Linked DNA regions of Nothobranchius furzeri. The protein of the gene in region 1 binds, or shares a complex with, the protein of each later gene. Links are inferred from orthologs where the notes say so. Each region holds a gene or a part of one and is shown in the gene's direction. Other genes may lie near its edges.

Region 1 (4,265 bases):
GTATGATCAAAACCTCATAAACCGTCACAAATCCTGTGTTTTCAGTTGGGTAGGTCTGTCATAGTCAAACCTGTGCTGCAGCACCTACATAACTTAACCTTTTTATGGGTTTTTATGAACTTAAAAGTCACGTATTTCCCATAAAAGTTCATCTGATACTTGAAATGTTAAAATAAATAAGCAGATGATCCTATTTTTGATCTGAGGAGTATTTTCATAGTGCAGATCACCCTGATTTTACCATCTCTGTTAAATAGGCCTATCATGTGTTACTATAACTCCAGATGCAGCCGAGTTTTCTATTAATCACTAAAATGCTTAAACTAGTTCAATAACTGGGTGTGAAAGTTGTAGGGTTATTGAGTGAAAGCCGTGCTGTCTGTTGAGCGAGGGGAAAAAACTAGCAAACAGATGCTCGTCACGTCTGATTCTAGCGACACCTGCTAGCCAACACATCTGGCTAACATTACATAGCAACACTGAATCACAGAAAACATACCAAAAAGACAAGGCCCAATAAGCTTATTCATCCCATCCATTTGCAAAAATTAGCAAAAAAAAATGTTAGCTACCTTCGGCGTTCGGATGTGTTCCATTTCTCCGAATCGAGACCTGTCAGCGACGCAAAGGGCTCACACGACGCGCTAAGATGACAAGTGTATCATTGATTTAAAAATGGTTAAGACTGCAGAGGTGTCGCCTTGACTTTTCGCTGTTATACGTTATGAGTTTATTGTCAATTATTTCACTCTTTTGTTAGCGTGAAGTTAATTACTATCACGGCAACGCTGCACGTGAAGTGTTTTCAAAATAAAGCGCATTTTGTGTTTAAAACACCAGGGCTTCGGTTAAACCCATGGTTAAAACCGCCTTTCGTGACATATAGTTTTTTTTAGTAAATATACACAATCGACATCAATATTATGATATACACACATATGTTGAGTTGATTAAACTTTTAACTGGCACTGTGTTGTGACGTGCTGAGATTTCACACCTAAATTACCACACGGAATGACAATAAATGATGTGATTCTATTTTCTAATTAAAATTTTTTTAAATGATCGAATTCGAATCTTGAAATGTTGTTTAAAATACGCCCTTTAAAGTCACGTAATTTTAAGTAAATTTTGTTTAAGCAAGGGGTTTTATTTTGAAAGCACATCCGGATTTAGTTTGTACTTTATGAACGACTTTTTAGTCCAAATTAGAAGTGTGCGCATGCGTTAACGTCACAGGAGCTGTGTAAAATCTGGGAAATGTAGTTTAGATAAATTATTACCCAAGATGCACTAGCACAAAAATACCAGGCGGGTAATAGGAAAAGAAGAGCCATGCGAAAAGTAGTTTTGAGAATTTTTTTTAACATACCAGGCTTATTTAATAGATTGTAAATCGCCACAAGGCTGCAGTGTGATCTCACTTATTGGGAATATAAAACATTTTTGATCAGTTATGTTTTAAACAAATGCTAGAGCGCGGATCTTGGCCCTCACGCGGCCATGAAAAGCTAACTGACGTGATGGTGTGCTAAGCTTGCAAATGAATTTCATTAGTATTTGAAGTTCAAATTGTTTGGTAGTGCTTGTGTAGCTGTTAGGAGAAAATGTCTGGCTTTAACTTTGGATCGGGAACGCTTGGAGCTACCAACACGGGTGGAGGATTTTCATTTGGAGCCGTTACCAGGTATTTTTAGTTAGCCGTTCTGGCTAAAGTTAGCATAGCATAACTTTAATCGTGTGCCATTTTTTACAATCCTTGTTTTTCAACATAGCTCACAGAGGTGGTTGCTTGTAATGTTTAAATGCACTGCCTTTTAGGGGTTTGTTCCTTCACGCAAACGTTACACTGCATTATTTAATAACATAATTGGGTTATTGAAATGTTAAACTAATTCCAGTATCCCCACATTGCTTCCACTGTCTTAATAAAGAACGCGTTTCAATAAGTTTGTGATTCGCACGTGAAACACTTATTGTTACTTAAGAATCATAAAGTTTAATTTCAATAAAACCTCCGGTTTAATACGTTTTTGGGTGATGTGCTGGAATGTCAGGATATCTACTTTTTCCATTTTGCCCAGGTTGCTTACAGCAGTTTGGCATTATTTGTTTGTGTAAACACATTTATGAAGTACTGTGGTTTAACGTAATTCAAATGGACGGATTATACATTTTTTAAGTGCAGCTTTGTTATTGAAAAAGTGTGAAATGATCATCCTTTCTGTCTTAAGTGCCCCTGCAGCCAATACGAGCGGCTTTTCCTTTGGGACTGTTCTGGGAACAGCAGCTGCAGCCCCTGCTCCAACCACTGCCACCTCCACCACTGCTTCTCTCGGACTGGGAGGCAGCATCTTTGGCCAGAAACCTGCTGGAGGATTCTCTTTCAATACGCCAGCTTCAAGTAATGATGCATTAACACATTTGTTTAAAGCTTAAGTCGTTCTGTGTGTCTTAACTTTTCTGTTGGGATCTTATCTTACAGGTGCTTCTGCGCCCACCACAGGCCTCGCAATAGGTATGCTAGCTTTCAGAGTGTGTTTTGGAGTAAGTGGGAAAGTTTCTACGTTTAATTTCACACACACTTTCTTTCAGGCATTCCAGCTACAACAGCTGCTACCACTGGCTTTAGTTTAGCCTTCAACAAGCCCACTGCCTCAGCGACACCCTTTTCCCTCACCACCAGCACCAGTTCCTCGACAGTGGGAGCAGGTTTATCATTTGGCTCCGTCCTGACATCCACAGCACCACAGCAGCCCTCAGCCACTGGCTTCAGCCTTGGTCTCGGTGGCATCACAACCGCCTCAGCAGCCTCAACAGTGCCATCACTGGGCACTGGACTTTTCTCCAGCACTGGAGCCTCAGGTTAAAATGAAAATAAGTTAACTTACACTGTCACGGTGCAGCACGTGTACAATCTATATATAACAATCAATTTAGCAAATCCAAAATCTCTGAAAGATCCGAAGATTTGTTCAAACCTCTTTTTCTACTTTGTGTTTCAGGGCTGGGCCAGACTACTCTTGGAGGAGGAGCCTTGGGTTCTTTGCTGGCCACCTCCACAGCAGTACCAGCTGCTCCTTCTCCAAGCATTGGCCTGGGTGGGGTTGACTTCAGCACCCTCTCCGAGAACAAGAGCGATGCATTATCTGGAACCAATGCTCAGTATGTGGCTTTATTCGTGAGGCCTTTGAAATAGTAAAACTAACGTTTGAATTCTAAAAATGTCCAAGACAACGTTGGTTTCCTGTCTTGTGGTCATTTACCTCATCAGTAATGATCTGTCTCCTGTATGATGGCGTGAAGAAACGTGTCTCATTCTCCTCCTCAGGGACAGCAAAGCTCTAAAAGATGAGAATCTGCCCACATGTATTTGTCAAGATGTAGACAATTTTCAGTAAGTATTACATTTTGTTACTGCACTGTGTACATGCTGAGTTTTTCTTTTTATCACCTGAAAGAGAGTTCCTTTCTGCATCTTTCTCCCTTATTTGCAGAAAATTTGTAAAAGAGCAAAAGCAGGTTCAGGAAGACATCAGTAGGATGTCCTCAAAGTCCATTTCTAAGGTTCAGGATGACATCAAAAGCCTCAAACAGCTGCTTTCTGTCTGTGCCAGCGGACTGCAGCGCCAGGCTCTGGCTATAGACAAACTCAAGTTGGAGACAGCTCAGGTATCAAACATAAAATAACTCAAATGACACATTCTCTCAAATGTTCCAATTTCGAAAGGTTGCAGCTCTTCCTTGTACCTTTTATACATAAATTACTCTTCCGACAAAACTTAACGTTCTTCAAATTCTTTTATAAGGAGCTGAAAAATGCAGACATAGCTCTGCGCACCCAGAAGACACCTCCTGGCCTTCAGCATGAAAACACTGCTCCGTCAGAGTAAGTCATCGAGCAGCAGCGTCGAGGCAAATCAAATGCAAATATCAGTGACCTACAATCGGCTGTTGTGATCTTGTGTTTAGTTATTTCCGTGGCTTGGTTGACCAGTTTGAGGTGCAGCTGCAGCAGTACCGGCAGCAGATAGAAGAGCTGGAGAATCACCTGACCACGCAGAGCAGCGGCACACACATCACCCCTCAGGGTAATGAGATGTGGAGATAACACTGATTATTTAATGGAAACGTAAAAGCTAGTGTATCAAACGCTACCCTTTAAATTCATCCTGGAATATAGTTTTTCAAACATAACAGAGGTTTGGTTTTAATTTTAACAAGTTCCACTACATTATTCATTGTTAGGTGGATGAAAACAACTC
Region 2 (4,287 bases), on another chromosome or scaffold:
AAAGCACCACGTAGATGTTACACTGGGCTACTTTGTGCCAAATGCTGATTAGATACAATCTCTGTGAATTGATTGTTACTGCTACAAACACGTGTCCTGAGTGTCTGCTTGCTATGAAATGTTGCATCTTGTTGTTTTTACTCTGTACACAAAATAAAAAAGTAGTTTCAGTAGTTCTGTGTTTGCCTCTGAGTTTGGTGAATAAGATGTGAGTGCAGAGGGAATTAAAATACAGGAGATTAGCTGCAGACACGGGAGCAAGGATGAAACCTCCAAAATCTGTAACTTTGACAAGCGTTACGATAAGTTTCAAGTTTACATAATATTCTATTCGTTTTTATTTGTAAATATCTTTGCCATACTTGCATAGCAGCAGCAAATATAAATTCACCCATACATGGACTTAGTTTTTTTTTTGGAGGGGGGAGGGGGAAGATGTCCCCCCACTTTTTCAAAAGTCAATTTTTGTCCCCTGCACTTTTTACCATCCACAAACAATATTACGCTACATTAAATTGGCACTGGTTGAGCACTAGGACCAAGCGGAAAACACCTGCTTGTGTTGAAGCCTGTTTCTCGTTAGAACTGTCTATAAGCTCATCTGTTGGCTCTACTAATACTTGAAAAGATGGCAAGCTATATAAATGAATGAGTCTTGTCTTTTGTAAAACAATTCAGAATATTTTTTATTTCATGTGTGTATGTTTGCATTCATGTAATAGCCCAGAAATCTAGATCGACTGTAGCACAAGCAAAAGGATATAGGGTGGCTTGCTAATTCTTTTGTACTCAAACTAAACTCATGAATGATTCTGTGTTACCAAAGGTAATTTATAATAAAATGTATGTATAGTTTGTATGGATAATAATAATAATAATAATAATAATAATAATAATAATATACGGTTCATGGCTCTTCAAGGACTAATAAACCTCAAAAGCTTCTAATAATTGGAGATTCCCTTTATATTATTTAGAATGTAAGCACTTCCTCTAATACTTTATTTTCTTGTGCTTATTTTTATGTATGCTCATTCATTGAAATATGACTGTTTTCTTTTTTCGAACATAATAGCTCGTCGTGTTTTTATTTGTACTATAAAGTTGATCAAATTAAAGCTGAACAATGTTAAAATCCGGACACTAGGTGGCGGAAGAGCGTTGCTTTGTTGAAGTATGAACAGTCTATGAGTATGAACGATGTGTTGAGAAATACAGAAACGATTAGACTAACTCTAGTTTCAGCGCCTTTGGCTTCCTGACAGGGTCGTGGAAGGCGCTTTATAATTAAAGCTTTGATTGATTGATTATGTAGGAAAACGCACACATGTGTACTAACCAGTCCACACTCCGTGCCAGTTGGTGGCAGTAATGTGGCACGACGTTGGTCGCCAACTGGCATAAAACATCAAACAGGAGAAGAAGAAAAGAAGCGACGAAGAAGAACTGACATTCGCCAACATGGCGTTTAGTTTTGGCGGCGCCACGAGCAATACAGAAGCAAGTATGGACTTTAGTTACCTCTACTTTGTATTCTTTCTCTTAGCGAAAGCTGTGTCGGATATGTGTCATAAACCAGACGCCACAAGGATATGAACGCATTACTAGCATATGTAGTTAGTACGTGTCGCAAGCTAACTGCTGTTGAAGCATCATGTAATCTCACAATCCGGCCAATGCAGCAAACTTCAGTGGGTTGTGTTCCACGTTTTAAGTTAAAGTCATAACTAGTTTGTTACGTATTCAGATGCGGGACAGATTACTTGGTCATCTACCTTTAGCAGTAAAGCCTCCCCATGTTAGCGTCATGCTACGAATCAGCTACTAGTTAGCTACTGTATGAAGTTTTCAGAAAAGCATCGAAGGATACAGTAGAGATGTAATCCAACATTTAAAGACTCGTTTATGTTCTTTTAAAGGCGCGCCCGGGTTCTCATTCGGCGCATTTGGTGCCAAGACGACGGCATCAACCACGTTTGGATTCAACCCCACGGCCACCACGACCACCGCTTCTTCAGGGTTTGGCAGTAAGTCACGCTCCTGACCCACATTCAAGAGGTCTTCTGTGTTTTGTTTTGGCTTTCATTCGTGTGTGTGTGTGTGTGTGTGTGTGTGTGTGTGTGTGTGTGTGTGTGTGTGTGTGTGTGTGTGTGTGTGTGTGTGTGTGTGAAAAAGCTCTAACAGCTCCTGGTTTTGGGACTGTCACCTCCACTTCTGCACCCGCTACAGGATTTAGCTTTGGCTCCACCAACACGGGTAGGACAAACATTAGTTTTAAAGCGCGTTTCATTCGTTTTGTTGATTTTTAGACGATTAACTCACTGAAGAGCTGGTGCCAAATGTAGCATTGTGTCATTTAACTCCGTGTTACTTTCTTCTTGCTGCCTGCCTGCTTCGGCTACAGGATTTGGGGGGCTTGGAGCTGGAAGCACCATGGCTGGCGGGTTTAGTTTTGGGGGGTTTGGTTTAAATGCCAACCCAGCAGCAATCAGCTTTAATGCAGGGTGCTTTGGTACAGCAACCACTACTGGCACTATTTTCAATTTTGGTAATAGCCTGACTAGCACAGGTAGATGATCTCTGTGATCGAGTTCATTTTGTGTTTGCAAAAATCGTTTGTGTCCACCTCCATGTGATGCAGTGTTTTTCTTTCTCCATCTCACCTGGTGACTCTTATACATCTATGTTCTGAAGTTTCACTGTTTTTGCATGAAAGACTGTGTTAAACTATGCTCTCATCTTGTGTGATGATGAATGTGGACATTCAGTACATTTTTTGCAGAACATCATGTTTGATGGATGTCATTTGATCATTGCCAGAAATACTTTTCTGCTACTCACCATGCACCCAGTGATTTCCAACTCTTGTTCTCTCATCTCCTTTCCCTTTAACTCCTTTCATTGGAGGGATTATTCTTTGATTTCCTTTCCAGGTACATTTGGTGGCTTTGGGGCAACGACAACAACAGCTGCTGCACCGGGGTCCACTTTCAGCTTTACTACCCCCTCCAATACAACAGGTTAGTAACAGAGTAACCTCTGTGAGTACACATTTAGAGCAAAATAAATATTAAAGCTGTGCGTGGCGACATTAGGAAGAATTTGGACTAACTTGAATATAAAAAATATATATTGATGGAACCACCCCCCAGCTTTACATGTTACTCTGAAGGTGCTGGTGAATACTGCTACTAGTAGTCAAAGTGGTGATTGACCGTTAGAGGTCTCATGCCTTTACAAGATATTTTTACTGAGACCCTGCTGATTCTCCAGAGCAGGTTAGGTTTCCAGTTTGGGAATTGCATGAGATGACACTTCTCGTCTGCTAATCAGTAATGGTGAGCAGATTCACCATTTAATCAATCGATTGCACTGTGACACTTGCCAATTCAATAACAATTTATAAATATATAAAAAAAATATATAATGAAATGCCTAAAAACAGCTGCTAAGCACGGCAGGAACATAAAAGTTGCACGTACCATTCGTACACTTTAGGGGACGGACCAGCGGAAATGTAATAAACAGCAGTAGAGAGCCTAAGCCACGCCCATTTACTTCCAGTCCGGTCTACTTCCAGCGTGTGAATGACTGTTCTTCGTGGAAGCACTTTCGAGTCCTCTGACACAGAAATGCCAATTACCATTTCAGTTTATTTACTATAAAATCACAAATGAATGTTTAAGAACATGTGTAAGATGCAGGTGATGTCCTATTAACACCAGTTCAAGTTACTATTTTATCCCAAATAAACAACCAAAACAGCAGGTTCTATGATGCTATATTCTTGTTCTAGCATGAACACTGAGCTGCTACAAGATGTCTCACTTTACCAAAACACGGGGCTCTCCTTGTTGCTGTGTTCCTTCTGCAGAGCTGACAGCATCTTTTCTTTTTTGGGTTTTAATTTGTTGCTTTTGAATGCGTTTTGTCTTAGGAGGCCTGTTTGGGAACACAGCCAACAAAGGGTTTGGATTCCCAGCAGGACTGGGAACCGGTACCGCTACTGGAACATCAGGGTTTGGAACTGGATTAGGAGCAACTGGATTTGGAGGTTTTAACATCCAGCCGACGCAGCAGCAAGGTGAGCGCCTCCTTTTCCAAGTGAGTGTTTACCTGCAGAAATCAGGAGATTATTATTGTACCAAGTCTGTTTCTGTACATGAATAAATCCAGTTTCAGACAGTATCTATTAGGGGTGCACAATATATGGGCATCATTAGTGGTATCGGTCAATATAGGTAATTTTTTTTTATCATATCTGTATTGGTCCGATGGGCTGGGCAA

What was found.
Region 2: the proteins of nup58 (region 1) and nucleoporin p54 are in contact, whole or in part, in a crystal structure (PDB 4JO7), measured with the Homo sapiens proteins. The link is inferred for Nothobranchius furzeri from reciprocal best matches to the Homo sapiens genes NUP58 and NUP54. Residues at the interface, in NP_054808.1 of Homo sapiens: Pro342, Tyr345, Phe346, Leu349, Val350, Phe353, Gln356, Leu357, Tyr360, Gln363, Ile364, Leu367, Leu371, Gln374, Ser378, Ile392, Tyr393, Phe396, Leu399, Ala400, Leu403, Ile406, His407, Val410, Lys414, Tyr417, Tyr420, Arg421; in NP_059122.2 of Homo sapiens: Tyr453, Leu459, Glu462, His466, Leu467, Gln469, Gln470, Gln471, Gly473, Leu474, His476, Leu477, Ile478, Ile480, Ile481, Asp484, Leu485, Ile488, Lys489, Leu490, Val491.

Annotation. Positions count from the first base shown.
Region 1 is NC_091747.1:56,986,552-56,990,816, forward strand, and holds the start of nup58 (nucleoporin p58/p45), read left to right. Parts: upstream 1-1,388; 5' UTR 1,389-1,607; coding exon 1,608-1,687; intron 1,688-2,234; coding exon 2,235-2,404; intron 2,405-2,485; coding exon 2,486-2,518; intron 2,519-2,595; coding exon 2,596-2,865; intron 2,866-3,005; coding exon 3,006-3,165; intron 3,166-3,331; coding exon 3,332-3,397; intron 3,398-3,497; coding exon 3,498-3,672; intron 3,673-3,809; coding exon 3,810-3,889; intron 3,890-3,972; coding exon 3,973-4,091; intron 4,092-4,265. Other genes in the region: mtmr6 (myotubularin-related protein 6), read right to left, coding at 573-596. UniProt on the Homo sapiens protein: Component of the nuclear pore complex, a complex required for the trafficking across the nuclear membrane.
Region 2 is NC_091746.1:59,725,053-59,729,339, forward strand, and holds the start of nucleoporin p54, read left to right. Parts: upstream 1-1,248; 5' UTR 1,249-1,461; coding exon 1,462-1,504; intron 1,505-1,919; coding exon 1,920-2,027; intron 2,028-2,175; coding exon 2,176-2,256; intron 2,257-2,404; coding exon 2,405-2,569; intron 2,570-2,933; coding exon 2,934-3,020; intron 3,021-3,937; coding exon 3,938-4,084; intron 4,085-4,287. UniProt on the Homo sapiens protein: Component of the nuclear pore complex, a complex required for the trafficking across the nuclear membrane.